Linked DNA regions of Saccharomyces cerevisiae S288C. Changing the gene in region 1 together with any one later gene gives a genetic interaction. Each region holds a gene or a part of one and is shown on either strand. Other genes may lie near its edges. The genes, in order: RTT107, TEL1, RTT101 and RAD54.

Region 1 (8,674 bases):
TTGTATTACGTACTTTTTTCCTAAAGATATTAGAAAAAAAAATGTTATGTATCAATATTACTAGGTAAAATACAAAAATGCGCTTTTGAAGTATAAATAATACAGTTTTGTTTTAAGAAATGCTATATATGAATTAATAATAAATGAAACGAAAAAAAGCACTACTTGAGTTTTAATGTCGTAAAACTTGAGAAAATTCTAAAGTGTCAGAAAAAAAGTGATTTTTAAGAAGGGACACCTTCTAGCTCGGATTTAGAGATTTTATTGATAACTCTTCTCCAATTTTTTCTATTATCATAAATGGGGACCCTCAATACACTCAAGTAAACGACAATACACAGTAGGGCAAAGGAACAGACTGACGCAGGGACCATCATTGTTACGAAATTTCTCCTAGAAATGACTTTTTCATATGGGCAACTAGCATAAGGACCACCACTTACCCAACAATTGCTTACTGATATAGAGTTCAAATCTATCCATATTTGTGTGTCAGAGAAGGAGGAATTCCTCATATATGCAATAAACGATCTCTGCTCCAATGGGCTTCTAGGAATATTAAATGAATACTGATCGGGACATTTAGATCCCTGGTAACTATCAAAATCAAAGTACGTAGCCTTATTTGATCTCACCAACCATCGGAATGCCATATTTTCATATCTACAGAGCCCAATATTAGAATTGTAACAGTTACCTACTCGCCATGTTACTGTCTCATTGTTAGCAAAGTAGTACAAGAGAACGCAATTGTAAGCCTCTAAGGTCCCGGATGAGCTGCCAGATTTAGAAGTTGACTGAGTAACTGAAGGTTGGTCACTATCCCATGACCAAACGCTGCCTTCATGAATTATATCTGCTAACTGCGTCACATTATTGACGTACGCTGAATTGCTTATTATTGGTGATAAACCACACGAAATATACTCTTTGATGTCCACGGAATTGAACAGCGAATCTAAGAATCTCCAATGGATAGATGATAAATCAGTCAGACCCTCTACAGTAGAGGGGCAATCTAATGTAGAGTTCCCCTGCTCATAATGAAAGACGTCATGAGGAAAAATATATGGAGCAGTAGTTTCATTAAAAAAATCGGTCAGCTCACCTATAACCAGTCTCTTCTTTTGTTCATATAGCACAGAGCCCAGAGTGGGCCAACCGTCAATGGACGATTTTCCGTAGATGTTCCAGGTATTATTCTTTGCTCTATCACTTTGTAAATCCGTAGGCTTGTAAATGAAACTATTTCCTAAATTTTTGTCCAGTATATAAGTAGTGTTCAAAGTTTGGTTTTGGTGGCGGTATTCTGTGGAATCCAGTTCAGGAGCTGATATATTCAGCAACAGTACAATGATATTCGCATAGAGGTTGTTTTGTGTGCTGAAGATGAATGACTGTAAAGCAGTTAGAACGTCGCTAAATAACAATGTCGTATCTACCACTCTCAAATCATTATTATATTGTTCCAAGTCGAGGACAAAAGCATTTGCTTCGGAGGATAGCATAGATTTGAACAAAGTCAGTAATCTTGTATTATTACCTTCATTTACCATGCTAGTCTCATTGTTCAACAGAACCCGTCGTAGATTCAAACCAACATACGGCAGCTGGTCTATAGTTAAGTTTCCCATGACATCTCTTTGGGACCTAAAGGCCACCGTCATTTGAGGGGACATCGTCGGCCAGACAGATGCTGAAACGGTCTCATTCAGATCATCGCCAACTGTCGTAGTAGAGTCAACAGCAGTAACCCACGTTCGCAGTGAGGACCATATGATAAATAGGTATATGAGTATCCACATACCGTGTCTATAACGATGCGAATGCAAATGAACAAAAGAAAAAGGGAAGAATAGAATGGAGATAGTCTTTGAAAAAGCGAGGTTAAAAGCGACTAAAAAATACCAGCAAAAAGGTGACAAATAAAGTTAAACAGGGTGTATCTCACCGTGCAGCGAACACTTCAATGTGACTTGCTCAGCCAAAGACTCATCAACATTTATGGAAATTTCAATGATTCCCATTGTATTGCCTCTTCCCATTGTGGAAAAAAGAAAAATGCCAAAATTGCAAACCCTAATTTAAAAGGGTTACAGAAAAAAAAAAGCAGGTCTGAAATGCAGTTCGCCATGGTTAATATCTTTTCCTAATTTGGAAATATGTAAACAGGGCATCTTTCCTTTTTTTCTCCTAATGAAAATTGTAAGCAAAAGCATGAAACAATACTGCCACAAGAGGAGAATTCCTCCTTTTGAAGTCTAAAGCGCCATTTCAAACTAGTTTTTAGGAGGTCAGCCAAACGTTCATTCAGATTAGTTACTATCTTGGAATACTTCTAGTAGGAAAACAAAATAACATATACAGTAAGAACAATAGAAAACGTATTTATGTCCAACAAGGCAAGTGACCAATCAGCACGCACGGCTTCCATCCTCAAGACTGATATTACCAGAGAAAACACAATCACCAGAAGCAGCAGCAGCAACAACGACAACTACCATCACCACAATAACATCAATAATTACAATGAATCGGCGAAGACAGGAGAGGACGCCAATAAAGAGAATATACCTAATTTAGAGGAGGAGATTGCGGCCTTTCGAATTTTTAGGAAAAAAAGCACTTCAAACTTGAAGTCGTCACACACCACTAGCAATTTGGTAAAAAAGACAATGTTCAAAAGGGATCTTTTAAAACAGGATCCGAAGAGGAAACTCCAACTACAACAAAGATTTGCATCACCGACTGACAGGCTGGTATCACCATGCTCATTGAAATTGAATGAGCACAAAGTTAAGATGTTCGGAAAGAAAAAGAAAGTCAATCCTATGAAACTGAACTTTAAAGGCAACCTTGCTGCCGATTCAGAGGATGTAGAAATCGATGAAGATGAGGAGTATTTCTACTAAAAAAATCTGCCTTTCTAGTCATCCAAAAATAGCCAAATGCTACACTAAACCAATAAGCAAACGAGTACATAAAGAATAAGTAAATAATAATTCAACAATACCTGATTTTTTTTTTCTTACATTTTTTTTATTATTCATTAAAAGCAACCACCAAGCTTTCCAAATTATGAAACCTTGATAAAATGGCTTCAAAATCTTGATCTGGAATTCCGTTTTTTTTGAAGAGGTCGAAAATTATTTGCTTGATTAGAATTTCAAAATCAATAAACTCGTCCATATCCACGCTGTTCCGTGTCAAACGCTGGTTAGCTTTAAAAGCTAGAAAATATTGATTGTTTTCAACATATCGACTTCTGTCTACTGGTGTAACCTCTGTAATAAAGTAGCGGGCACCCGTTTTCGATGGTCCATTTATTAGATCTAGTGACCTCTCCAATAAGATATCCCAATAAGCTATTGAGAATTTCAAGCGCGTGAAATTCAAATTTATCATCAGAGAACGATGTGCGGGAACTCCAGGGCTTTTCTGTATTTTCTCATAGACATTATTTATCAGTAATTGCAGCTGTGTAACAATAAAATTGACGCCACTTTCTTCGTCTTGTAGCTCCTCGTTAAGCTGCGAAATTAACCTGCTCGTATTCACAGTAACACACTTAACCACAGAATGTTCTTCGACATTAGAAATCTCTTGTATTTTTTGTACATCCCAAAAGAATTCAGACATTTCTATTGAACCATTCCAGAAATGTTGTTCCAGAAGTTTATTCTCTTGAACCTTTACACTATTTCGTATTTTCTCGGTTTTAGCCGCCCACTTTTCACGCGTTAACAGGGTAAGCTATATCAGATGTGACTTTTCTTTTTCACTCATCTAATGTTGTTTTTCGCGTCACATTTTTTGCCAATAAATAAATACATCACAATGTTCTATATTGTATATTCAATGGAAGTCATTAGGTTATTGGGCAAGATTTCAAGGAGGTAGCATACTGGTAAATATACGATCCATGAGCACATCACTTCTGTTTGAGCAGCTAAATTTTTTAATTTTAGTGGCAGCAGAGGCTGAGCTTCCCATCGCTCACTCTACTAGAAAGCTTTTGATGGATAATTCATGCAATAACTGTCAAATATACGAGCTTTATAACGAAAATTTGAAAGATGTCAAGACGGATAAAGATTGGTTCATGAACAAATTCGGCCCGCAAACAGTACATTTTGTCATTAGTAATACAATCAACTTTCCTTTTTATAAGATAGTTTATTTCGATCTTTTGATCCCGGTGGTATCACACACTTGGGTCCAGGATTCGGTCAAGACGAAGAGACATTTGAGGACAAATATGTATTCACCTAACCCATTTCATTTGCTCCGAGACTGTCAAGTATATATTTCCAAAAGCTCGTTTAATAAGTGTGAATACATATTATACTCTGATTTGCTTCATTTATTAGGAGGCACTTTAGTCAATTACATCTCAAATAGAACGACGCATGTGATTGTTCAAAGTCCCCAGGACCCGATCATAGCAACGGTCAGTAAATTGACATTTGGCTCTTTTTCCTCTTCATCGACCAACAAGCACACCGAAAAGCCTTTGAGAGAGTGGAAATTTGTCTATCCAATATGGATATTATATCATTTCAAAATGGCGAAGCCCTTGAAGGGCGAGCTTGCTACTTTGTGTGAGCTTGATATGCAGGACACCAGTGAGGAACAGTTATTCGCAAAATGGGAAGAGGTTATTGGCGATAAGCAGACATCATCATCGCAGCTTACTCTTCATCCAAACAAAACTTTATTCAAAAATCACCACTTTGCTATCTCACCAGATTTAAACTTTTTCACACCTTTGTATTGGTTTTTGAAAGGATTTATCGAGGATTTGGACGGCAAAGTAACTCCGTTGAGTTTTTCTGACGATCTGAAGTCTGTTTACCAAGCTTTTCCTGATATTGACTGTTATATCGGCCACTCTGCTAACTCACCGATACTAGAAAAAACCAAAAGCATTAAACCGGAAATTCATGTTGGGAACGTAAGTTGGTTGTTTTATATGTTTGCGCTGCAAAAATTTACACCTGTATCGCAATGTAAACTTATTCACCAACCATTTCATGCGAAATTATTTACTTCTAAGGAATTAACAGTCGCGTACACTAATTATTTCGGCTCCCAAAGGTTTTATATTCAGAGGTTAGTAGAAATATTAGGAGGACTTAGCACACCTGAACTAACAAGAAAAAACACACACTTGATCACGAAGAGTACAATTGGCAAAAAATTCAAAGTCGCAAAAAAATGGTCACTGGACCCGCAAAATGCCATTATTGTGACAAATCATATGTGGTTAGAGCAATGTTATATGAATAATTCCAAGTTAAACCCCAAAGACAGTAGATTTCAAAATTTTAAATTGGATGATAACATGGGATGGAATATCGGCCAAATAGGAATGGATCATTCATCTCTCCCAACTCCAAAAAACCTATCGATGGTGACTTACGACACGCAATCCATATCAGAGAAGCCGCCTCCCACAAATGATCAAATGGATCAAATTAACGATAACACCAATGTATTATCAAAGAAAGATGGTACGCCCATTAGTAGTTTTGAGAACTCAATTGATGAAAAGATTGACAAATTACAAAAAATATCAGGAGAGGTGGCTGTAACCCATTCTGGAGATTTAGAACGGAGTTTTGTTTCCAGACCTTCAAGGGCAAGTTTTCCAGTAGTTGACAGTAAAAAATCTAATTTACAAAAGAAAGACTCAAACTCAGATATTAGTATGGAAACAGAGGTTTTCTGTGAAGGACATGAAAAAAGAGAAGAAAAGGAGTTTACGAAACCTATTACGGAGTATGATGCACCTAAGAAACAAGAAATAAGGGAACAGTCACGCAAGAAGAATGACATAGATTATAAAAAAGAAGAGGAAGAAACGGAGCTGCAAGTTCAGCTAGGACAACGAACTAAACGAGAGATCAAAACTTCGAAGAAAAATGAAAAGGAGAAAGAAACCAATGAATGTCACATTGAAGTAGATCAAATGACGAATGAAAAGCAAGGGGAGGAAAGTACAGGAAAACTGATTTCTACGGAAGACGTCACTTCTAAAAAAGATACAGATAAATTCTCGCATTTGTTTGAAGGATTATCTGATAATGATGATCACATTAATGACGAAAAACCGGCAGTTAATTCCAAATATACCACACCCAAGACGTCTCAAAATATTACGAGTGGCGTTGATACTCCAACCACCGCGCAAACGCAAGTTTTTATGCCATCAAGTGGCAATTCAAGGTTAGCAAAGACACAAGCTGCGAAGAGATTGCATACAGATATTGAATCATTAAATGAATTTCAGAAAAACTTTAAAAGGAAGAGAATTGATAGCGAGGAGATTTCATTGTCCCAAGATGTTGAAAGGTCAAATAATAACAAAGAACTGGCTACTAAAGCGGAAAAGATATTAGCTAGATTTAATGAACTACCAAATTATGACCTAAAAGCGGTTTGCACCGGTTGTTTCCATGATGGATTTAATGAGGTTGACATCGAAATATTGAACCAACTAGGTATAAAAATTTTTGACAATATTAAAGAAACGGATAAATTGAATTGTATTTTTGCTCCAAAGATTTTGAGAACCGAGAAATTTTTAAAAAGCTTAAGTTTTGAACCGTTAAAATTCGCATTGAAACCTGAATTTATTATTGATTTACTGAAACAAATTCATTCTAAAAAAGATAAACTTTCTCAAATAAATATAAACTTGTTTGATTATGAGATAAATGGAATTAATGAGAGTATAATATCAAAAACCAAACTACCTACTAAGGTGTTCGAAAGAGCGAATATTAGATGCATTAACTTAGTCAATGATATACCGGGTGGTGTAGATACAATAGGCTCTGTTCTAAAGGCACATGGTATCGAAAAAATCAACGTTTTACGTAGTAAGAAATGCACATTTGAAGACATAATCCCAAATGACGTTTCTAAGCAGGAAAACGGAGGCATTTTTAAATACGTACTTATCGTCACCAAAGCTTCACAGGTTAAAAAATTTACCAAACTGATTAATGATCGTGATAAAAACGAAACAATTTTGATTGTTGAATGGAATTGGTGTGTTGAATCAATTTTTCATCTCAATGTTGATTTTACATCAAAGAAAAATGTTTTGTATCAAAAGAAAAATAACTAAAAATGGACACTATATATTACGTCATCTGACATACGACACTGATAACAAATAAATATATAATAATTATAAAGATGCGTTGTAGAAAATCTTATGTTCAACAAACAACCCACATATGATTAACAGACCATTTTAAATGTCTAGTTAGAAACAATTATTTGGTACTGTCTTTGAATTAGATTGTTTAATAAAGCATTTCTAATATAGGATACAAAGGGTCAAATAGTACCGTGAGTAGAATCATTTATTCCACACTTTATCCGCAAACCTTTTAATTTTTCTACAATTTCATGGATAAAAACAGATTCATGGCCAGAATGCGTAAAGCAACTCTATTGTACAATTTTCCACTCTGAGATATTCACACAGCGGAGAGCCCTTCTACTCAATGCGTCAAGAACAATGTTCCAAACCTAGTGTATTTTAGGTATATTATTACGAGAGTATCCGCAATGTTAATGACGCAAAATTTAATGGCTCAAGCCAACTACTAACGTTAGTAAGAACTTTTTGATCTAATAATTAAACAGGTTACATCCATAGATTTACGTCAGAAATCTTAAATAATGTTTACATGCGAACAGTACCAAGATACATATATGTGGAGCGGATGAGAGATAAAATTGGGTTAAATGGGAAACATTACGGTATGATGCATAATTTTGAGTTTGGGCTTATTATCCTCGTGCGTATTGTATCGTCTCAATATGAGTGAAGATAAATCACCTATTACCCGAACTTTGAAGAGAACACTCTGAAAATTTGGTGAATAAGAAAGGGCTGTAGGTATTATTCGCGAAGCTTTCATTTATTGTAGTGAAAACTAGGGTGACAGAAGCTGATGGTCTGTTCTTCGATTTAGTACTGCCAATTTCAAGTTTTTCACTTCTATAGCTTTGGTATTGGTCATTGTAGAACAATTTTATAATGCATGAACACAAAGCGGAGCTACGGCTAATAACCGTTGCACTTAACGAAGCATCCACCGATTCCCCCTCTTTTAGAGCTTCTGTCAATTATTTCCATACCAGAATGGAATCTCTGAGTAGTTGGATGCACAGTACTGTGGATTATGTAGAAAATACGTACAAGCCTTCGTTCCAAGACTTCCAAAGAATAAAGGAAACACTATTTTCACAGCTGCTCCCTTCTCCTATATTACTCTCCAATGGATTTGTCAGTAACCAGCCATATACTCCCTTGCTTGTAAGAGACTTTACTAGAGATGTCAGTGACCTTTCAAATACGGTTATGAAAATAATTTTAGGTGATGAAAACTCACAATACACTGCGGCATTGTCTGCTTTGAGCTCTGATGCTATTAACCCTTACTTCAACAAGAGAAAAACTTTTGAATACTACCAAAGGAAGTATGATTCGTTTTTAACTGACTTTTTAGCGGCCACTAATGATGGCAATACTTTAATTCCACAAAATCTGCAAAATGAAACATTCAAATTAGTCGATATTAAACACAAATATATAGAAGCTTCCTTGGATTTGACTGAGGCTATTTCGTTAATGAAAGTTAATTTGGATAAA
Region 2 (7,797 bases), on another chromosome or scaffold:
CCGGCTCACAGAACGAGCCGTACAACCGTCATCAGACTTGCATGGAAATGTTGAAAAAGAGGTAAAAAAGAAAATATCAAACCCAAACACGCTCGGGCTGAAAAATTAATATGGCAGGAAACGAACTGTAGCCATAATGTACCTGTTCCCGCTAATAGTAATACCATCGTATTGCTAAGGTTAGTAGCTAAAAATCTCTTACTTTCTTTATTTTGACTCTTAGGTCTTACAAGCAATACAAAACCAACACACCTATATATAACTAATAATGTCCGGTAACGGTGCTCAAGGTACTAAGTTTAGAATCTCAGTATGTTAAAATTTTTATTTTCCACAATGCAATTTGGTTAAATTGATCATAAAGTAAAGTTCCAAGATTTCATTTTGCTGGGTACAACAGAATTAAACAGAGGTTTAAAAGACGCTAAACACTAAGTGTGAAGCCTGATCATATACCTATCGGTGTTATTTTCCATAAGAATGGTAGATGTGCCATCACTGGTACCGCCCCGCCAAAGATGCAATTACACACATAAATTCAGTTTTTAAATGGTTAAGCGGGCTGTATTTGCAGATGAAGTGATACCTGTCAATATTCATGGACTCAAAAATTTCTGGTTTCAAAATCATACACGGCAAGCATATCCTAACTCCCTCTTTTGCCCATACTAATGGATAACCATCGAAATGTTATTTCTACAAAAATCACGCTTAACTCTATTTTTCAAGATTAACCACATCTGCTAACTTTCTCCCTATGCTTTTACTAACAAAATTATTCTCACTCCCCGATATTGAGATCTTTTTTAACTAGTTAGGTCTACCAGTCGGTGCCATCATGAACTGTGCTGACAACAGTGGTGCCAGAAACTTGTACATTATCGCCGTCAAAGGCTCTGGTTCCAGATTGAACAGATTGCCAGCCGCCTCTCTAGGTGATATGGTTATGGCCACCGTTAAGAAGGGTAAGCCAGAATTGAGAAAGAAGGTTATGCCAGCTATTGTTGTCCGTCAAGCTAAGTCTTGGAGAAGAAGAGACGGTGTCTTTTTGTACTTCGAAGACAATGCTGGTGTCATCGCTAATCCTAAGGGTGAAATGAAGGGTTCCGCCATCACTGGTCCAGTCGGTAAGGAATGTGCCGATTTATGGCCAAGAGTTGCATCTAACTCCGGTGTTGTTGTGTAAAAAGGAAATTATTTTGACTCATACTCTTAGATTCTTCAATTATATATATTTTCTTTATAAATAACAATCTCTTAAACAGATTAAAGAAACTCAATAATTCATTGCATTTTTAGATGAAAATATTACTATTATCGTTCATCGAGAGAATCACATGATATTATGAGCGTGATAGGAGGGTCTATATATTTTTTGGGGTACGTCAAAAAAGCAAACAGACACGTTAAGAAGGTAAGAATAACAGATGATAGAATGTTTTGCTAGTGAGAAACAAGTATGGCACCAGCCGTACAATATGCATATTTTGACATTTTTCAAGGTAAATTAGTTCCAAGTTAATAGAATAATCAAGACTAATTGACTTCTCAAAGCCTCGCAAAAAAAGCAGGAAATTCGAAAAAAAAGCCTTCAAAGAAAAAGGGAAATCAGTGTAACATAGACGATGGAGGATCATGGGATTGTAGAAACTTTAAACTTTCTATCATCAACAAAAATCAAAGAGAGAAACAATGCTTTAGATGAGCTAACAACAATTTTAAAAGAAGATCCGGAAAGGATACCAACCAAGGCCCTATCTACAACGGCAGAAGCTTTGGTAGAGTTACTTGCATCTGAACACACAAAATACTGTGACCTTCTTCGAAACTTGACAGTGTCAACCACAAACAAGCTATCACTTAGTGAGAACAGACTCTCCACGATATCGTACGTTTTAAGATTATTTGTAGAAAAATCATGTGAGAGATTTAAAGTGAAAACGTTGAAGTTACTTTTAGCAGTAGTACCTGAATTAATGGTCAAAGATGGTTCCAAAAGTTTATTGGATGCCGTTTCAGTACATTTATCGTTTGCTTTGGATGCCCTAATTAAAAGTGACCCTTTCAAACTGAAATTCATGATACACCAATGGATATCCTTAGTCGATAAAATTTGCGAGTACTTTCAAAGCCAAATGAAATTATCTATGGTAGACAAAACATTGACCAATTTCATATCGATCCTCCTGAATTTATTGGCGTTAGACACAGTTGGTATATTTCAAGTGACAAGGACAATTACTTGGACCGTAATAGATTTTTTGAGGCTCAGCAAAAAAGAAAATGGAAATACGAGATTAATAATGTCATTAATAAATCAATTAATTTTGAAGTGCCATTGTTTTAGTGTTATTGATACGCTAATGCTTATAAAAGAAGCATGGAGTTACAACCTGACAATTGGCTGTACTTCCAATGAGCTAGTACAAGACCAATTATCACTGTTTGATGTTATGTCAAGTGAACTAATGAACCATAAACTTCCTTATATGATTGGTCAAGAGAATTATGTTGAAGAGCTTCGGTCCGAATCTCTTGTATCTCTATACCGTGAGTACATTCTACTGCGCTTAAGTAATTATAAGCCTCAATTATTTACCGTAAACCATGTGGAATTCTCATATATTCGAGGTTCAAGGGATAAAAATTCATGGTTTGCATTACCTGATTTTAGACTTAGAGATAGGGGAGGCAGATCGGTGTGGTTAAAAATACTCGGAATTACCAAATCATTGTTAACATATTTTGCATTGAACAGAAAAAATGAAAATTACTCATTATTATTTAAAAGAAGAAAATGTGATTCGGATATACCTTCTATCCTACGGATTTCTGACGATATGGACACATTTCTTATTCATCTTTTAGAGGAGAACAGCTCACATGAGTTTGAAGTGCTAGGATTACAATTGTGCTCATTTTATGGAACTTTACAAGACTTCACTAAAAGTTTTGCAGAACAGCTGAAAGAACTTCTGTTTTCAAAATTCGAAAAAATCCAATGCTTTAATTGGGTTTGTTTTTCTTTTATTCCTTTATTATCCCAAAAAGAATGCGAATTAAGCAATGGCGACATGGCACGCCTATTTAAAGTTTGCTTACCATTAGTAAAATCAAATGAATCTTGCCAGTTAAGTTGTCTTTTATTAGCCAACTCCATAAAGTTTTCAAAGCAGCTTTTATCCGATGAGAAAACTATCAATCAGATATATGATCTTTACGAATTATCCGATATTTTGGGTCCCATATTAGTTACTAATGAATCGTTCATGCTATGGGGATACCTTCAGTACGTTGGTAAAGACTTCCAATCTATGAACGGTATATCGTCCGCTGATAGAATTTTTGAGTGGCTAAAATCAAAGTGGAACCAGTTGCGCGGAACTGATGCTAAACAGGATCAGTTCTGCAATTTTATATCCTGGTTAGGTAACAAATATGACCCAGAGAACCCTTTCAACGATAAAAAAGGCGAAGGAGCTAATCCTGTCTCACTATGTTGGGATGAAAGCCACAAGATTTGGCAACATTTTCAAGAGCAGAGGGAATTTCTTTTAGGCGTAAAACCAGAAGAAAAGTCAGAATGTTTTAACACTCCCTTTTTTAATTTACCAAAAGTTTCCTTAGACCTCACACGTTATAATGAAATTCTTTACAGATTACTGGAAAATATTGAAAGTGATGCATTTTCATCTCCACTACAAAAATTTACTTGGGTAGCAAAATTAATACAAATAGTTGATAATCTTTGTGGAGATTCCACTTTTTCTGAGTTTATTGCAGCATATAAGAGAACAACCTTAATAACTATTCCACAACTTAGTTTTGATAGCCAAAACTCCTACCAATCATTTTTTGAGGAGGTTTTATCGATACGGACCATAAATGTAGACCATTTAGTGCTTGACAAAATTAATATGAAGGAAATCGTTAATGATTTTATCAGGATGCAAAAAAACAAATCTCAAACAGGAACTTCTGCCATCAATTACTTCGAAGCCTCTTCAGAAGACACTACCCAGAATAATAGTCCGTACACAATTGGAGGTAGATTTCAGAAGCCTCTGCACTCCACTATAGATAAAGCAGTGCGAGCTTACCTATGGTCTTCAAGAAATAAATCCATTTCAGAGCGTTTGGTAGCCATATTGGAATTTTCTGATTGCGTTAGCACAGATGTATTTATATCTTATCTTGGCACTGTTTGCCAGTGGTTAAAACAAGCAATCGGGGAGAAATCTTCTTACAACAAAATCCTGGAAGAATTCACTGAAGTCTTGGGTGAAAAATTGCTTTGCAACCACTATAGTTCTTCCAATCAAGCTATGCTTTTACTTACATCTTATATCGAAGCAATAAGACCTCAATGGTTATCTTACCCCGAGCAGCCTTTGAATTCGGACTGCAATGATATCCTGGACTGGATCATATCTAGATTTGAGGACAATTCTTTCACTGGTGTGGCCCCTACGGTCAACCTTTCTATGCTGCTGCTTAGCCTACTTCAAAATCATGATCTTTCCCACGGATCAATCAGAGGTGGGAAGCAGAGAGTCTTTGCAACTTTTATTAAATGCCTGCAAAAGCTAGACTCCTCCAATATTATTAACATAATGAACAGTATTTCGAGTTATATGGCCCAAGTGAGCTATAAGAATCAAAGTATCATATTTTATGAGATTAAGAGCTTATTTGGTCCGCCTCAGCAAAGTATTGAAAAGTCCGCTTTCTACTCTCTTGCAATGTCCATGTTGTCTTTGGTGTCTTACCCAAGCTTAGTTTTTTCTTTGGAGGATATGATGACATACTCTGGCTTCAATCATACTCGTGCGTTTATCCAACAAGCTCTGAACAAAATTACGGTCGCTTTTCGCTACCAAAACCTTACAGAGCTCTTCGAATATTGTAAGTTTGATTTGATTATGTACTGGTTTAACAGAACAAAAGTCCCTACTTCTAAATTGGAGAAAGAATGGGATATATCTCTTTTTGGATTTGCCGATATTCATGAATTTTTAGGAAGATACTTTGTAGAAATTTCTGCAATCTACTTTTCTCAAGGTTTCAACCAAAAATGGATCTTAGACATGTTACACGCGATTACTGGAAACGGTGATGCTTATCTGGTGGATAACAGCTATTACTTGTGTATTCCACTTGCCTTTATCAGTGGCGGTGTGAATGAACTAATATTTGATATATTGCCCCAAATATCAGGTAAAACAACAGTAAAATACCATAAAAAATACCGTCTACTGATGTTAAAGTGGATCATAAGATTTACTGATTTGGGCTCACTTACTGAACTTAGATCTACTGTTGAAAAATTATTCCCAACTTCATACCTTTCGCCATATTTATTTGAAAATTCCAGTGTTTCAATGAGGTATCAATACCCACTTCATATACCCTTGGCATTAGGAGCAACCTTAGTTCAGACGCAGTTTGCTCATGAAAAGAACAACACACACGAATTCAAGCTTTTGTTTTTATCGGTTATTACAGACCTTGAAAAGACATCGACTTACATAGGAAAACTGCGATGTGCAAGGGAGTTAAAATATCTTTTTGTGTTGTATGAGAATGTACTTGTAAAATCATCAACTTTAAACTTCATCATAATTCGGCTTTCAAAATTCTTAATAGATACACAAATTCACGATGAAGTAATAACAATTTTCAGCTCATTGTTAAATCTGGCTGACAAAAATACGTTTGAAATAGAGCCATCTCTGCCCAATTTATTTTGCAAAATATTCATTTATTTGAGGGAAAACAAACAGCTCAGTCCATCCTTCCAGCAGGCTATAAAGCTTTTAGAGCATCGGGATCTCATCAAAATAAAAACTTGGAAATACTGCCTTGATGCAATATTCGGAAATATAGTCCAAGATGATATTTATGAAAATACGGAACTTTTGGATGCTAGTGATTGTGGCGTAGACGATGTTGTATTGGTTTCTTTACTCTTTTCTTATGCCAGGAGACCGGTAGCTTCAAAAATCGGTTGTTCGCTTTCTAAAGCTGCTGCAATTAACATTTTGAAACACCATGTTCCAAAGGAATATTTGAGTAAAAACTTCAAACTATGGTTCGCTGCTCTTTCAAGAAGAATTTTACAGCAAGAAGTTCAAAGAGAGAGATCTACAAACTTTAATAATGAAGTTCATTTGAAAAACTTTGAAATGGTATTTCGCCATCCCGAACAACCACATATGATATACCAACGTATTTCGACCTTCAATAAAGAAGCTGAGTTATATGATTCTACTGAAGTGTTTTTTATTTCTGAGTGCATTCTAACGTACCTAGTGGGCTACTCAATAGGAAATAGCGAAAGTGAATTTTGTTTTAGGGATAACATAATGAACGAGAACAAAGATAAAGTTGCTCCATTGGACAAGGATGTACTGAATGCTATATACCCGTTGGCAAACAATTTTGGGATGGAATCATTCATATGCGATACTTATTTGTCAGTGAACGAACCCTACAACTGCTGGCTAAGCAAATTCGCCCGTAGTTTGATTCACCAAATATCATTTAATATACCTCCTATTGTTTGCTTGTATCCTTTATGCAAAGGATCAACAGCTTTTTGTGAATTAGTACTTACTGACCTCTTTTTTCTTTCAACGACTTACGATCCGAAAAGCTGTTTGAATTGGAGCAATCGAATATTCACTCAAATAGCAATGTTGCTGCATGTTAAAGATTCTGAGATAAAGCTAAAGATGCTTTTCAATGTAATTAAAATGATTAGGATGGGTTCTAGATGCAAGGAACGAAACTGTCTGCGCATATATTCTAGCTTAGATTTACAAGAAATATGTCAAATTTCTCTTAAAATAAAAGAGTTCAAGTTTGGCTATTTGTTATTTGAGGAAATGAACATGCCAAACATAAGAGAAATGAATATAAATACACTTCAGAAGATTTACGAATGCATAAATGACGGCGATTTTCTAGCAGGCTTACCTGTTCCACACTCAATAGAGGGTGTTTTGAACTCTATCAATAGAATTGACTCAGATACGTGGAAACGTTTTCTTTTCAACAACGCCGATTTTGATGCCAATTACACTACTTCACTAGAAGAGGAAAAGGAATCATTAATCAAGGCCACAGAAGATAGCGGTTTCTACGGGTTGACAAGCTTATTGGAAAGTAGACTTTCTGGATCCAGTGATGTCTACAAATGGAATTTAGAATTGGGAGACTGGAAGCTATTGACTCCAAAAGTTGTTGATTCCAAAGCCAAAGGTTTATACTATGCCATAAAAAATTTACCACAGGACGTTGGTTTTGCTGAAAAAAGTTTAGAAAAATCCTTATTAACTATTTTTGATTCTCGACAACATTTTATTAGCCAAACTGAATGGATGGATACTCTGAACGCGATTATTGAATTTATAAAAATAGCAGCAATCCCTCAGGACGTTACTTCCTTCCCCCAAACATTGATGTCTATTATGAAGGCCGATAAGGAGAGACTTAATACAATAGACTTCTATGATCACAAAACAACGTTAAAGAGTAGACATACTTTAATGAATGTGCTCTCGAGGAATTCATTAGATGAAAACGTAAAATGCTCGAAATATTTACGCCTTGGATCCATTATTCAGCTTGCTAATTACGTTCAGCTGGCAATTGCCAATGGTGCGCCTCAAGATGCGTTACGAAATGCCACTCTAATGAGCAAAACAGTGAAGAATATTGCAAAATTATACGATGATCCCTCTGTAGTATCTCAAATTGAGAAATTGGCAAGTTTCACATCTGCTAATGCCCTCT
Region 3 (8,148 bases), on another chromosome or scaffold:
TTGGGCAGTTTCAATTGTAGAGTACAGTAGTTCTGGGCGAGAAACCCCTTTTGACTCTTGTAACTAACATTATCAGTAACTGTCAACTGCTTCCACTTCTGTGGCTTTCTTTGCGGGTCATTAGTATTTTGAAAAACATACTTCCTCTCCAACTTGTCGTTCTGAATCATTCTTTTGACTCTTTGATATTCTTCATTGCTCTTGGAAAATAACTTCCTCTTTGTTACTTGACCCTTAAAGACTGATTGTAACCCATTGATAAAGGTTTCCCAAGGATCCTGCTCACGAGAAAGGCTATTACCTTGGATAGAACATTCGAGTAGACCGTTCTGTAATATGTTAATGCTTGGCGCCGATGAGGAGGGGAAAATGCTCTTGAAAAGCAAGCACTCTTTAGTACCATTTACTAACCTTACCCACAGTATGTTTTCGCGCTCCTCGTCACTAAGATTTCCTGGTTTGAACCACTGATGAAGCCAAGAATTGTCCCCGGCTGCTGAACTAATGTAAACGACGATAACCTGCTCACTAGTATGAGAGTAATCATGAACAACTCGATCATGAAAGAGGCTGTCTATACCTGACATCTCGTACATTTCTGTTATTCAATACCTGTAATTCACTTCCTTTGAGGGTCAAAAATGTCCCCTGTAAGCAAGTGTATAAGTATATAATTATATATATGTGCATATATATGTCCCTATACAACTACTAACGAATCTTAAAAGTTGACTATTCATGTGGAAAAAGTCCCTCTTCTAGGGTTGACGCGCTAGAGGTAAATCCATTAAGGTTCCTCCTGGCTTCGTTAACTCCGAAAAGAATAGCATGTGCAAGATGAGTTACCGAAAGAAGCAATAAAGAAAGCACGAGTACATGTAGAACAGGGGCACAGATAATACCAGACAGATGAGCCCACTTTTAAGAGTTTCAAAACTTCCACGAATGCACAGGGAGAATAAAGTACGCGCTGGGTCCGTTACGATTCGTGCTGCAAGAGGTTTAAAATCGCTCCACAATGGTCTCGCCCCTCGGCCCTTCTCCAATTACAAGCATATTACTAATACAGTTTTCGTTTCTTTTGTAATGTTCAGATAGGAGCGAAAGACTAATTTCGATGGAAATTTTTATCTTCATTTCGATAGTATGTTCAATCAGTTGAACTATGCATCTTTGGTTATCATCATTAACAAATTGAAACGAAAAGCTATCCTGCCAAGAAGGCCGGATAGAGAGATTGAAAAAGATATATAAAGTGTCCTTGTCACACTCATACAACACCTGTTGTATGTCAGGCATACGGCAAATTGACTACAGTTTGCATTTGCACTAATGTCGTTTGCAGTGTAACTGTTGTATTGAACGTGGACAAGGACAAGAAAGATAGTTTTTATCTCTTGATGTTTTTTTATATGGAGGAGAAAGCGACGAAGTCGAAAAAAACGAAAGGAAATAAAATGCTGTCGGAAAAAAAGTTAGGGCTGGTACGGATTATAAACTATCTCAGTAGTTAGGTAATATATAAGATGGCACCAGTCTTAGTACTTGTAAGTTGCTGTTGATTCGTCCCTAGTTATGAATTTGTCTCGTAACAACTTGGCCAAGGCGTCTTTGAACTCACCAACACTAAAGCCTTTTATCTGCTGCTTTACCGTTTCAAATAAATGGTCGTAGTCTAGCCCATTCCTCTCGCTCTTAACGGATCTAGTTATGCATGCCTTTAGTAATTCTTGGGTCCATTGGGAATTACTTCCTTCGTGGTGTGCAGAACTGGTTCTTTCACCGCCTGTGTTGCTACTTTGGAGAGACGCGGTTCTCGGTAGAACCACACGTAGTTTCCCATTTTTCACTTTTTTCATATCAGGTTTGAAGCTCTCGTTGATACTGTATGTGTTGTCAATATCTCTTGTCAGAATTTTATAATTGCAGAAGGATTTTAAGACTAGCGCTAAGTCTTTGTACGCCAGTTTCGTTTGCTCTGATATAACTTGCAAGGTCAAATGATCGCTTTCGTTGAATAAAGTCAGCACACATGTTTGGAAAAGGGTCAATTCAAATATTAGGTTAGTTCCATCCTGTATGATATAAGGCGACTCCACTTCGCAGTGGTGCAAGTTCCACATCGGATATAGCTCTTTTTTGGAAGCATCTGAATCTTCCACTTTATTCTGCTCGTGATAATTACGGAGAAATTGGTTCCACGTATCATCCATCTCTTGAGGTAGGACAAAATTTTTCTTTACTTCGTTGGATTGCTGAAAAACTTTGGGAATTCTTTCTCTATCAAAGATAAGTGGGAAAAATGACTTGCTGTTGTTTTCATTGTATGTCTTCCCGAACTTCACAGCAGCCTCGATATTCTCATAAAACGACAAGAACGATGCATATTTGATTCTCAGATCTGCCATAACCTCTACCGGCTGAAAGAATTGCGATAAATAGGGTTGATATTGATCTCGGTATCGCATTTCATCCTCTTGTGAGACATTTGTTATGATTCTTTGTTTGAAAAGTTCCATGAGGCTGTCTTTGTAAACAGGTAATATATCCTTAATAAATGAGGAATTTTGATCACTTTGTAAGATCGTCTTTCTGAAAATTGATCTTTCGAAAAAATTAGGAAATGTGGGAAGGTTAACGAACTTCAGTCTCAATATAGGAAGATTTTCGTTGAGATACTTTATTTTCATATCTCTGGGTAGGTCTTTTTTAGTTGTTTTTATCTTTCTGACGATGATGAATAAATGTGACTCAAAATATTTGACATACTGTTCTATGGCTTTGCTGGTACTTCCAAGTAAATTACATAAATGGTACTCGATGGAATCGGAGTATATTTTGAGGTGATCTACATTAGCTAGCTGAACTACCTCATCAAATAGCCTTTCAGTATCATGATTGGATCCATATGCTGCCTTTAACTTTTCTGAAACGGCATCATCACAGAATTCCTTGAATTTTGACAGCATATTTTTTGCTTCAAAAGCATTTCTAAACATCAATAAGCTAAAGTGTGTCTCAGTTTTGAAATATCTCTCTTTTTCTTCATCATAAGTGTCCTTCCCAATTTCTATGTATTCGCTAATAGACTTCTTGTTCAACAGTAGATGGCTTATAAATAGGTCATTTGCATCGCTGACCCATTCAGGGGAAAATAAAGATGCTAATAATGCATTCCTCGTCAATAGTACCTTAAAATTCTTGAAAGTTTCCAGCCTCGGCCTTAAATTTGATTCCTCACAGTAATATTGTCTGAGAGTTTTCATATAAAAATCTTTGGGGCTCAAGCCCTCTATACTAAAATTGCAGTTAGACATTATACGGAGCATAGGAACTTCCTTCTCTAACATTGTATTCGTTATTGGAAACATATGAATATAGTGATGAATAGTAGCGCTTACAAGGGTGGAAAATTCCCTTCCAAAATGTGACTTCATACATTCGAAAAGTTTGGAATCATAATACTGAAATATCGTTAAGGTCTCAAATCCTAGTTCTTTTCTTATCATGGGATAATTTACCGGCACATACGATATAATAGGACCAACGGCACCCATTACGTACTGAAATAGCTTGTAAAAAGAGGTCCAATTTTTGGGTATAATTTCATAAGAATAGTCGCATCTGGTCAAAAAGCTAAGGACGTGCGCGTCAATTATTAACTTTGCCAATTCATCACAAAATTCTTGAAAACTCAGCACAATTTGGTGTTGATGTAGCAGCTGAAACTTCTTTTGCTTTTCGTCATTCCCATTAAATTCTGAGTTGTAAGGAATGTATGATTTCCTTTGCGTTAATTCACGGCAATTGTTCAACATCTTAGGCATTAGCTTTCTAAATTTAGCGGCCTTTTCTTTATTACACTCCAATTCTTTCACGTCAGTTTCAGTTATAGTTTCAGCTAAAGTAAGGTGAAAAAACTCGTGCAGCTCAGCAATCATCGTTCGATACCTGGGATTTCGCTCATCGTTAAATTTATTGTATAGTCCTAAAGCGTTGCTTGCACTCGTCTCTCTGCTTATAGACTCGTGGAATCCTTCTCTCTTGGAAACGCTCTCATTTATCATTGTTCCTGTGAACCCGTACGAGAATTTATACCAGTAAAAAAGATTGGTGGGTTTAATATCTTGAGGATTCCTTCAAAGTAGTCTTTTAGTGCAAAGATATCGATGATCTTCATTCGCATTGTTCATATTCATCATTACGCAAAGGATAGCTATGCGTTCCGCTTCGTCATACTTAATCAGGAATATTGAACATCCAAAAATCTCCGAGCTCACGTATGTAGAATTTTTGATGAATACAAAAGAAGAAAACACTAGACTTTTCTTTGATGTTTACATTATGTCTATGATGCTAAGTAATTGGGCACTCTCCCCTCGATATGTGGGACAGCGAAACCTCATACATTGCACCACTTTATTTCACACACTTACACGATGGGCAAAAGACGCAGACGATAAATATCATGATATAAACTCAATGTATGAAAACATGTTTACACCTTCAAATGATAACGTTTCAATTTTGCAGGATGAAGGTAAATCTGATTATGATACGACGAAGGCCAGCTCTATGGAAGAAGATATCAGTGCTTTTAATAAAGACTTGTACAATTTCTATAATATTGGATATGCCAAACAGATCATGTCTGCTTCACAATTGGAAAATATAGTAAAGGCAAAGGGCAGATTTGTTATACAAAGTTTATCCACCAGTCCTTATTATAATTTGGCCCTTGAAAACTATGTTTTCAAGAATACACCAAGAGCCAAAAGAGGTCCCGATAATTGCAGACTGTTATTTTACATCAATGATAGGTGCGCCGTTATAGGCAAAAACCAAAATCTGTGGCAGGAAGTAGATCTTGCTAAGCTGAAGAGTAAGAATTTCGAACTACTTAGAAGATTTTCTGGAGGTGGCACTGTACTGCATGATTTGGGCAATGTTAATTATTCATATTTAACATCAAGGGAGAAATTCGAAACAAAGTTTTTCAACAAAATGATAATTAAGTGGTTAAATTCATTGAATCCCGAACTAAGACTAGATTTGAATGAGAGAGGAGATATTATTCAGGACGGGTTTAAAATTAGTGGCAGTGCTTATAAAATTGCCGGTGGCAAAGCATACCATCATGCAACGATGTTGCTTAATGCGGATTTAGAACAGTTTAGCGGCTTATTAGAACCCTCACTACCGAACAATATGGAATGGGAGTCAAGTGGAGTTCATAGTGTAAAATCAAAAATCAAAAATGTTGGTATAATTACTCCTAATCAGTTCATTGCAGTGGTATCCGAGCGTTTTCAGAAAACATTCAAAGTTGACGGCGAAATACCTATATATTACTGTGACGAGTTTAAATCTATAAACGATGAGATTAAAGATGCTATGAACACCTTACAGAGCGAACAATGGAAATATTTCTCGGGGCCTAAATTTTCAGTGAAGATTAAAGATAAAGGCTTAACAATTAAAGTCGAAAAGGGCATGATTTATGATTGTGATAGAAATGATTTAATCGGCTTGGAATTCAAAGGATTTTTGGAGAATATTGACAGTTACACATAACGTTGATGAATATTTCAATTCACTTGTAAATAACGTAGGTAAATATCAAAATTAAAGTCTTTCACCGGAAACTGATTCAGCATATTTCAGCAGACGCGTCCTAGATTCACAGCAAACTTCAATATAAGCGATACATTAGGAGTGTTCGTACTTTAGATCTATAAGAACTATATTTTGTTACGATTCAGCCGTCTCTAAATGTGAACTAAATATTTATACTGTTATTTGAGAAACCGACAGATAGTACTTAATTTTATCGATCATCTAAGAATAGCATCGGTATTGTGGTGACATTTATTGAATTTCTTCCGCTCCAGAATAAAGTTCCTTTTCACTTCAAAAAACTGCCACCAGTAAAGTTGCACCAGTGGTTTTTGAGCATTTTTTGTCAATGTCGCTTAACCGTTCTTGAACTGTATCCTCTTGACGTCGATAAAATCATTTGTAAAAACCAGGCCAAATCATCATTGAATAATTTACACTGTGTCTTCAATGTCGCCATTTGGACCAATAATTATCAAACTGTTCACAATTCACTCAAAGTCCTTTCAGCAACATTCTTATGAAACAATACTTTCTTTGAATTTGTATGATGAAACAAAATTTTTTGGTTATTAATCATTTATCACTCTCGGTAGCCAAGTTGGTTTAAGGCGCAAGACTGTAATTTACCACTACGAAATCTTGAGATCGGGCGTTCGACTCGCCCCCGGGAGATTTTTTTAATGTGCTCTAAATAGAATGTGGATGAAATTTCTCTTGGCCGCCGTACCCTTCTTCATAATTAATAATTTCTTTCCATTTTGCAGGATTATATCTGATCAATAAGTGATTGTAAAGATTTTGTTTGTGAGAAATATGTGAATTTTTAATTTTGGTTATAACTTAATAATTGTTGGAATTCCATTTTTGATAAAGATGAAAATTGGTGAATTTTGAGATAATTGTTGGGATTCCATTGTTGATAAAGGCTATAATATTAGGTATACAGAATATACTAGAAGTTCTCCTCGAGGATCTAGGAATCCTCATAATGGAACCTATATTTCTATATACTAATATTCCGTTTTATTCCTTATTCCGTTTTATATGTTTCATTATCCTATTACATTATCAATCCTTGCACTTCAGCTTCCTCTAACTTCGATGACAGCTTCTCATAACTTATGCCATCATCTTAGCACCATATATGATAATATATTGGTAGTATGACTACTAGTTGATAGACTGAAGAGAATGTGGATTTTGATGTAATTGTTGGGATTCCATTTTTAATAAGGCAATAATATTAGGTATGTAGATATACTAGAAGTTCTCCTCGAGGATTTAGGAATCCATAAAAGGGAATCTGCAATTCTATACAATTCTATAAATATTATTATCATCATTTTATATGTTAATATTCATTGATCCTATTACATTATCAATCCTTGCGTTTCAGCTTCCACTAATTTAGATGACTATTTCTCATCATTTGCGTCATCTTCTAACACCGTATATGATAATATACTAGCAACGTAAATACTAGTTAGTAGATGATAGTTGATTTTTATTCCAACATAGACGATAGTTGATTTTTATTCCAACAGTGTTGACATATAAATACTAGTCAACTAAATGGTAATTGGTTATTATTCCTCAACATTCTGCTACCAAACGCAAATGTAGTAGGAGAGTTTAGATTTTCAACGTTGGTTTGCGAGATTGGTGAAATCAAAGCATAGTTTACCTTTAATCCCAATCTTCCAACAAACAGTAGCTCGCGTGGCGTAATGGCAACGCGTCTGACTTCTAATCAGAAGATTATGGGTTCGACCCCCATCGTGAGTGCTTTGTTTCTTCCGTGATAGTTTAATGGTCAGAATGGGCGCTTGTCGCGTGCCAGATCGGGGTTCAATTCCCCGTCGCGGAGATTTTTTTTGAAGCTGTTGTAGTTACTACTTTAAGATCCAGATTGATACAGTACGTATGTGAGGCAACAGATACTTGCAATATAACAAGTTTTGTGAAGAGATAGTGTGAATACCTATGGTTCCACGCAAGAAATCATCTATTTGAATTTTCGGCTTCTATAAGAATGACAAAACTCATAGGAAGCTGCAATGCATTAATTTTCCGTAAGCTTTATTAACCCGTTAGCCGCTCAAGTCGCTTTTCTCAGGTCGCGCTCCTCTTCTCCGGACTTATGTGGCTCCCTTTAGAATATAAGGGTCTTCCCTTTAACGGAACAGTAAGGTTCCACAAGGTGGCAAAAAAGGCAATCCAACCGACACTTCGGCAAATTTCTTTCACTCTAGTCAGAGCTAAGTTCTTATATATACTTTCTAAATAATTATCTGCTAAAATAAGAAAAGAAGGAGCCTAAATACGTATATCTATATACATGTATACACGTGAGCTAATAAATTATGTTATCTTTGAAAAAAGGAATAACAAAATCATACATCTTGCAAAGAACTTTCACTTCTTCCTCTGTTGTTCGTCAAATTGGGGAAGTGAAATCTGAATCGAAACCGCCGGCCAAATATCATATTATCGACCATGAATATGATTGTGTGGTGGTAGGCGCTGGCG
Region 4 (8,045 bases), on another chromosome or scaffold:
TACTCCAGTAGTGTGATCGACGAATCCTTGTCCTCCAATTTATTTTCTTCTTCTTCTTCTTCCTTTCGTTCTTCTCCGTCTTTTCCTTCCTCTTCGTCCTCCTCTTCATCTTCCTCTTCATCTTCCTCTATCGCTTCATATCCGCTTACCGCATACCAAGTAATGTCATCGAGTAATCCCTTGTCTCCTTCACTGCTCTCATTTTCTTTGTCATCGCTCCGGTCAATCTTCAATACCAACACTGGAGAATCCTGTTCTTCTAATCGGAGAAGCTTACCGGAAACACTGAAAAACAGCTTCTTAATATGGTTCAGATCTATGGCAAGTTCCTGTGGTGTGTCTTCTTTGTCATCATCCTCATGATATCTACCGTCATTGAAGTCTTGTTCTATTTTCATAAAATAATCATACTTTCTGCCTGTAGAGTTCAATCTATATATCCTTGCTTTTGCACGTTTCATATCCTCTTTCCAAACAATTCCTGATTGCCCATTGTTTTCTGAAGTTAGGTTATAGAAAATAGAGAATAGTGTAACCTCAAATGTAGGCCCCACTTGAACTTTTAGAATCTCCTTGTCACCTGTTCCTTTCTCATTACTCTTCATTGCCTTTTCATACTTTCTATTGTTCTCGCTAACGAAATCGGAGGCTTTTAATAATAAACCAGGAGAAAGTTGATATGGGAGTGCGCTGTTCAAGTTGGCACCAGAAGTGGTTAAAGAAAGATTAATGAATGGAGTGATTTCTTCGATCCTCAATAGCAAGTCCTTTATATAGTTTTCTACCGCTTTAATAGCTTCATTCTGTGTTTTTGCGCTCCTGGAACCCTCAACTTTCTGCGTCATTTCGTTGATCTTCTCATCAAACCTATCAATCTCTTCTTTTAAATCCTTGGTTAACCTCAGAGTGATTTGCAAATTCGTGTTTCCCCTCGCCGCTACCAGCTTTATTAGGTCAATTGCACTGGATACAATAGCCATGCGGCTTTCCAGTTTAAATTTCAGTTGATCTATTCTTCTAGCATCATCCTTAGGAATCTGGACGACAAAGTTCGTTATTGTCTTTAGCGCATATGTGGATGCTATCGATATTCCGGATTTTATAGCAAATGTAACGGCTTGTGAACCTGCTTTGGCAAGAATTTCATCCATTCTCTTCAGATATTGGTGTTAGGTAATAGTTAAAGTTAATCCTTCTGAGAGTGTGAAACTGTATCAGATTTTTATTTCCCTGACAGCGTGAGATTTTCTTGCCATAATCTTTTTTGGCAGTTTCGGCTGGCACTTTACCACGATAAAACTGAAGATAATGAAAAATTTAAAAGCTAGCACAAGTATAATATGACATCGCTCAACTTTTTTTACCCTTAAGTTATACGATTATACTTTTTTGATTGAAATACATAGAGATATTTACCAATTTGGCCCCAATTTTCAATTGTTTATTACGTCTAAATATATATAACCATGCCCATCATTTAAAATAAATATGTAATGACCCCCCGACGATCGAATTCTACTTTTTGTTTTTGTTTTATAAGTACATGTATGTAAGAGATCAATGTGAAATATATTGAAATGCAAAACTGATATCATTGTAATGATGCTCGTTTTTTAGTAGATGATCATTTGTTTTTTCCAATGCGTCATGGTTCAAATGATTCCAAGTTGTCGCATCACCATATAACATTGCAGGGGCTCTCTTTAATTGTTTACCCTGAGCATTACAACGTTTACAATGGTATGTTTCGTGTGTTTCACATATCGTATTCTCATTTTTTTGAAACAACTGTCTTAAATTGTCAGAACTAAACAACCTTTCAACGTCTTCTTTCGCATCGACCACGCATGAACTCAAACTCATTTTCATAGATTGTCTTTGAAAGATTTTTTCCTCTATGGTACCAGTCGATATGAATCTGTAAATGAAACAATCCTTTTTTTGACCGTCTCTCCAAACACGTGCCAAAGCTTGTTGATCAGCAGCAGGATTCCAATCCGGATCCATCAAAATTAATCGATTTGCACCAATCAAATTGATACCACACCCACCTGCTTTAGAACTTAAGAGGAAGATGAACTCTTGGCCTTCAGGATCGTTGAACCTATCCACCAATTTTTGTCTTTTGTTAATTGACATTGTACCATCCAACCGTACAGCACTGTAGTGCTTATATCTACACATTTTTTCAATGAGGTCCAAGGTTTGGGTATAGTTGGAGATCAAAACAATCTTATCATCGGATTCGGTCTTTATCTTATGGAGAAATCTTTCCAAAATGGAAAATTTAGCTGAATATTTTGTTTGTACGTCCCTGGCTTTTGAACCCGGCATATTATAATCGTCAGGTAGTTCCAAATCATCTTCATCGTCAAATTCATCTTCAAAATTCAAGAGATTAGGGTGATTACATAGCTTCTTTAAAATACCAATAGCCCTCAGGGGCTGAGACCCACCAACACCTTTTACTACTTTTTTCACTTCTCTTGACTTAATTAATTTATTGTAGAGCTCGTTCTGCAACGGCTTCAAGTTTACGAAAATAACGTGCTCATACTTGCAAGGCAAATATTTGGCCAAAATATCGTTAGTACGACGGATAATAAATTTGGAGACAATGGTAGATAGCTTCTGTAATTGCGCCTCGCCCTTTGTGATTTCTTTATCAGTAGCATCAGCATCACGCCCTCGCAAAATTGGATTCTCAAAATTTTTCCTAAATTCTGCTCTGGAACCTAATAAGCCAGGATTCGAAAAACTCAGTAGAGCAAAATATTCGGAAAGATCGTTTTGAATGGGTGTACCAGATAATATAACTCTTCTAGGACAACTGATGCTATCCAAAGCTGTGAATGTTAAAGAGTCACCGTTTTTCAAACGGTGCCCTTCATCTGCCAGCATTAAACCCACATTGCAGTTTTTCAATTGATCAACATTTCGACGTAATGTTTCATACGATATGATTAAAACGGGCTTAACAATATTTCTTCCCTGTGCCTGAGCCCAGGCATGAATAGCTTGCGAAACTGTTGTATTACCACCACCCATTGAAGATTTTTTCCCATCAACCGCTAACGGAGTTAGAGTATTGGGACCCAACCATTTTATCAATTCATTAGCCCAGTTGTTGACTAAAGAAGATGGACAAACAATGATACATTTGTCGATAAGTCTTTTACCCTGCGGGCCCTGTCTTAATAATGTCCACATAAGTGCTATACACTGCAATGTCTTACCCAGCCCCATTTCATCGGCCATGATGCAGCCGTAGGCCCCTCTATTGTTTTGTTCAGTCTTTTGAGATTCAGTAAGTGCCTTCTCGTCGCTCTTTAAGGGATCTTCGCTTGAAGTGTTGAACGCCTCAGCTTCTAAGTAATCTTTCATGACAAGCCCTGTGACACAACGGTATAAGAATCTCACCCCTTCGACTTGATGGGGTCTTAAAATCTTGGCCAGTTTTGGATCAATAACCACAGGGACACTAGCAAATTTCTTCTTGTTTTCCGCAGAGTTTTCCGAATCACCGAGTAGCTCACGTAACGGTTTGTTTCTCACACCATTTGTCATCAAAGCTGGATGGCGTCCTATTCTTTGTGTGGGTCTTTCTTCCTGGCTATTCTTTTCCTTGTTAATATTATCCTTTTCCTGTGTGCTTTTGATCATTTTCTTTGATTCTTCTTCCTTGTTATCCATAGATGTGTCATGGACAATCATTTCACCGTCAACGGACGGGTCATAAAGCACTATGGCAAATTCGTCTGTAGGGTCATGTAGAGGTCGAGGTTCTGGAGTAATTTTTTTTTTCATTCCTAACGTTAATGGCAGACTGTGTCTTTGTACATATCCCTTGATTGGCACAGTGAAAGATCTTCTCAAAGTGTACTGGATATGACTCAGTCTTGTCGGATCCTTGGCCAACCTTTGAGCACTAAGAGCATCCTTCCGTCGTTTAGTCAACTGAGAAAAACTTATGTCTTGGCTGTTGTACTCTGCTTCGTCCGCATTTATATCCAAGCCGGAATAACATACAGTCGCTGATCTTTTCCTCAAGCTCCTTCCTCCTACGATATTATCAGACCCGGTGGCGATTCTACCAGCAGCGGGCGGGATGTGCGTGTTCTTGTACGGGACCCTGAACGGTTTCGTTAGTCGGTTCACCGAGTCTTGTACGTTAATAGGCCTAGGTACCAGTCTCGGCCGTTCACCGGCTCCTATTCCATTTGGTGGTCTGTCTGGTAATCTGCGTCTTGCCATCAGTTATAAGGAAATATATATGGTACCTTGAAATAGAGCTAAGTTCTGAGCGTTTGATTTTTCTATACTTTCGTAGCAGCTTTAGTGAAGAAAGAGAAAAGTTGCTGCTCTAGATTTTGTATCGGCTATTACGTCAAGTGAGAAGAGTTTTGGCCTTCGCTTCAGTTAGATCTTCTATTATTTCCTTTTTTTTCTTTTTGTTTGTAATTGTTTTTTATTTTTTTTTTTGCGCGAAACTTTGCTATATTGGGTAACGCGTAAAATACTTTTTATTATTGCAGTAAGGCGGAAGGGTCTTCCCCTTTGCATGTTAAATAGCATACATGGCACCACTCAGGTCCAGAACGTGACACATCTTTGCACCACTTGTGTATTTTCAAGATGTTAAATTTTTGATACATAAGCTTTATCATGCAGGTGCAGTAGACGCATTTGCGTACGCGTTGAGTAGTAATGCAAGAACGCAACAATTTCACGCTTTCTACTTAAGAGGACAGATCTTCGAGCAGAATATTTTTCTCCTAGCGCGGCTTTCAGAATCTTCTTACCATCTGCAGGACATCACATGCAAGCACATGAAGCTGGAACCACGCACCATTAAATGTAAACCTACAGACATAGCTAGCACAGAAATGCTACTTTGGAAACCTCGGTTGCATCGGCTGACCTCGGCTGTTCAGCAACGTGAGCTGGTTGTTGTTATTGTTCATAGAATCCTGTATTTTACCAGTGTAGCTTTGTCCGCCCACCCCACGCTTTTGGCCACTAGTATGTACGTATATGCGTGGGCTCTATATCATTGAAAACGAATTTTCCACGCAAAACCCACTTCACACCATAAAGGCCTTATGACGATGTACATTCTTCCCCTCCCCCCTCCTCCCGAAGGAACCCTTATAGTGATCCTAATACGGTATAACGTAAACCGGAGTTGTCAGCAGAGAGAAGCGAATAATATGTTTTGCGTGGGGTTCCCACGAGCGGCAGGAACCGTAGCGCATTGAAAAATGAATCATCGATCATCTTTGGGTTTCAAGGGTTCGGACTTCGCCAAAGGTCCGAATACTTCCACCAGTATTTCTCTTTTTCCCTTTCCAGTCTCGTTCTTCGCCGAATCCCCGCTTTCCCATCATGATCGTTTCTCTGTTTCTCTCTTTCCGGAACAGGCTCTTTTCTGACCGCCAGTTCGTGCGGTTAGTTCTGTGGATCTTGCAGGCACTTGCCGGTTTAGCCACACTTCTCCGCTGTTTGTGTCGAATTTCCCTCGAGTATGAGAAAGACTGGACCACAAAAGAGGGAAAAAAAATGGGCCGATTTTAAACCATTATAGGTCACAGAAAAACTTTCTTACGACGGTGGTTTTTCAACAATACGTTTCTTGAGCAGGAGAGGAGCTTTGTTCTTTTGCCTTAGTTTTTTTTGTCTTTTTTTGTGAGCCATCCTGCTGTCGTTGCCATACATGACAGATCCACATTTGCCTTGTTGTTTTTAGTTTTTGTTCCTTGCACCATATAAAAGCGTCACTTGTATTTTCCTTACTCATCTAAACTTCAAGCTTTTTCGTCATAGTAGGTTTGTGATCTCGGCAAAGAAAAAAAATTTTTTTGCCGATCTTTCTGGTTATTGTTTCAGGTATCTTTATGAAAGTATTAGTGTACGCACTGGATTTTTGGTAGGTCTATAAAAGTGCAACACATAATCTAAATCATTGAGGTCATCGTATGTCAAAAGAAGATGTCCACAAGCATTACAGTAAGAAATAGAGATCGATCGCTACCACCGCTATTGCTCCCCAATGTTTCCCTGCTAGAAAAAGATATACGGCGTAAAGGCACCCAAAATGTGGGCATCACCGATCCAGAACTCTTGTCGACCACTTGGACGAGGAAGCGGGCTTTTCCGACTGACGAGCTTTTAGGAGGCTATAAGAGATTAAAGCCTGCTGCCGCTGACAGTAATGAGTGCGCTATTGGTATTGCCACGGTGACGCCGCCGCCAACGCTCCCCGTAAGTGCGATTGTTCCCCCTCCACAAAATTACACTCCACCATTGTTTGAGTATCATCCTCATGCTCTTGCTTCCATGGTCAATGAAGACGCTAATGCGTCATGCACTCAAATGTCTATAATTTCGCGCTCAACGAGCAACTCGACAACCTCCTCTGCCACATCTACTAGTTCAATTTCCAAGAGACAAAGAAGTGGCCCAAGTTGTGACAAATGTCGTTTGAAAAAAATAAAATGTAATGCGAAAATTGAGATTTTGCTTCAAGACGATACTATAATGCCAATGATCTCGAACAAGTTGCGGTACGTCTTGACTCCTGACGATATTCGGCTATATCGAGGCACGCTGTTGCGGAATATTGCCATACCGGATGATGTCATTGAGGGTACAGGCTCACGCAAGTTGATTAAGCATATTGATAAGTTGGTTTTGCTCACACCTTGTTTACCATGCATTAAGAAAAAGCATTCTTCTTCTTCCACTAATTTCCCAAAAAATGATAAATGTACTTTTTCAAAAGGCTTTACCAGAGCTGACATAAACATTTCATCCAAAATCTCCTTAAAATTTAAGGATAAAACCATTTACGACATAACCTATGATGACTATAAAAGCATTGATTTTTAGACAAAGGCATCTCTAATGAATAGCATCACAAAACTTGCATTTAGCATTAACATATATGGATATATATGTACACACAGAAAACGTATAAACACTCATGTATAACCCTACATAATAAGAGTATACAATGATACTAGTCATAAAAAGTATTGTGTGTATAGACGTGCGCATATTTTCAAAATATTATAAACCTGAACAATAGACAGAATAAAGTATGCAGCGCAACGACAACGATGATGGACAGCGAAAATTTCCCGTTCGATTGTGTCTCCGTATTATTATTACTCGATATTTGAGAATTCAAGAAATAAGACGACTGTGCCCACCCAAGAGCCACAATTGCCCATTGAATTGCTTGAACAGTCCTCAGGCGCTTGGACATATCCAATATATTCAATATAACACAAACGGGTATCCAGATCAAGTTAGCGTACCCGTAAACGGAAATCAATTCAGGAACACTTTTGAAGCTTCTATTGCGCTCCGAGTGCTCATCTCTATTCAATACTTGCATGGTAATAAATGGTACGCCGAACGTGTACCCGTAAAATAGCCAAATAGAATGCAGTAGCTTCTTAAACTGACTGGCCCTGTCGATGTCCTCACCAGTCTTGACGCCCTCAATTACGTCACTGATAATAAAATTTAACCCCCTACTCATGGTAAAATTGATCATTACCACCGTGGCAGTGATCCATACAGCACCGTATAAATCAGTGTTATCTTCGTTACTTTCGGAATTATGATCGTTTCTAAACGTCAGTACCGCGGACAATCTCTTTTTGAACTGCGTCAAATCGATCTGGAAGTATTTAGAATAGTAGTTTATCAATCCTGGCCTCAATCCATTACGCCCAAGACCGTCGTTGTCATTCTGTCCTATCACTTGGTCGTACGCTGGTGGGTCCATTTGACCCTGTAATGGTGCGGATTCTGCCTTACTGCCCGTTGTGTTATAAAATTCGCTACCCTTTCCAGCAGTCGAGTTATTCATGTTTGGGCTATCAGGTACGGTGGCATCATCAAATGGGTTGGGCTCGTTGCCAAAATCATCTACACCCTCGAGATCATCGTCAATATCTAAAAAACTGCTATTATTGGACGGCATTTTTCTGCTTTTGTCGAGTCAATCCTATTTGCTAGTATACAATCGTGGATGA

Evidence for each region.
Region 2: mutations in RTT107 (region 1) and TEL1 together harm fitness more than expected from each alone (negative genetic interaction), as found in Saccharomyces cerevisiae (7 studies listed by BioGRID, with this or other methods).
Region 3: mutations in RTT107 (region 1) and RTT101 impair growth when combined (synthetic growth defect), as found in Saccharomyces cerevisiae (4 studies listed by BioGRID, with this or other methods).
Region 4: mutations in RTT107 (region 1) and RAD54 together harm fitness more than expected from each alone (negative genetic interaction), as found in Saccharomyces cerevisiae (4 studies listed by BioGRID, with this or other methods).

Annotation. Positions count from the first base shown.
Region 1 is NC_001140.6:399,044-407,717, forward strand, and holds RTT107 (Rtt107p), read left to right. Parts: upstream 1-3,922; coding exon 3,923-7,135; downstream 7,136-8,674. Other genes in the region: MTC6 (Mtc6p), read right to left, coding at 225-1,805; SPO12 (Spo12p), read left to right, coding at 2,391-2,912; SPO16 (Spo16p), read right to left, coding at 3,043-3,639; LAM1 (Lam1p), read left to right, coding at 8,060-8,674. UniProt on the Saccharomyces cerevisiae protein: Required for resumption of chromosome replication after DNA damage, specifically in S phase. Is recruited to chromatin in the presence of RTT109 and RTT101 in response to stalled replication forks and acts as a scaffold during DNA repair.
Region 2 is NC_001134.8:53,211-61,007, reverse strand, and holds the start of TEL1 (DNA-binding protein kinase TEL1), read left to right. Parts: upstream 1-1,625; coding exon 1,626-7,797. Other genes in the region: 60S ribosomal protein uL14 RPL23A, read left to right, coding at 269-310, 815-1,186. UniProt on the Saccharomyces cerevisiae protein: Serine/threonine protein kinase which activates checkpoint signaling upon genotoxic stresses such as ionizing radiation (IR), ultraviolet light (UV), or DNA replication stalling, thereby acting as a DNA damage sensor.
Region 3 is NC_001142.9:348,042-356,189, forward strand, and holds RTT101 (cullin RTT101), read right to left. Parts: upstream 4,068-8,148; coding exon 1,539-4,067; downstream 1-1,538. Other genes in the region: UBX6 (Ubx6p), read right to left, coding at 1-596; YJL047C-A (uncharacterized protein), read right to left, coding at 1,003-1,137; AIM22 (putative lipoate--protein ligase), read left to right, coding at 4,345-5,574; succinate dehydrogenase SDH9, read left to right, coding at 7,983-8,148. UniProt on the Saccharomyces cerevisiae protein: Core component of multiple cullin-RING-based E3 ubiquitin-protein ligase complexes (CRLs), which mediate the ubiquitination of target proteins.
Region 4 is NC_001139.9:192,150-200,194, forward strand, and holds RAD54 (DNA-dependent ATPase RAD54), read right to left. Parts: upstream 4,255-8,045; coding exon 1,558-4,254; downstream 1-1,557. Other genes in the region: YRB30 (Yrb30p), read right to left, coding at 1-1,151; SUT1 (Sut1p), read left to right, coding at 5,989-6,888; YIP5 (Yip5p), read right to left, coding at 7,061-7,993. UniProt on the Saccharomyces cerevisiae protein: Plays an essential role in homologous recombination (HR) which is a major pathway for repairing DNA double-strand breaks (DSBs), single-stranded DNA (ssDNA) gaps, and stalled or collapsed replication forks.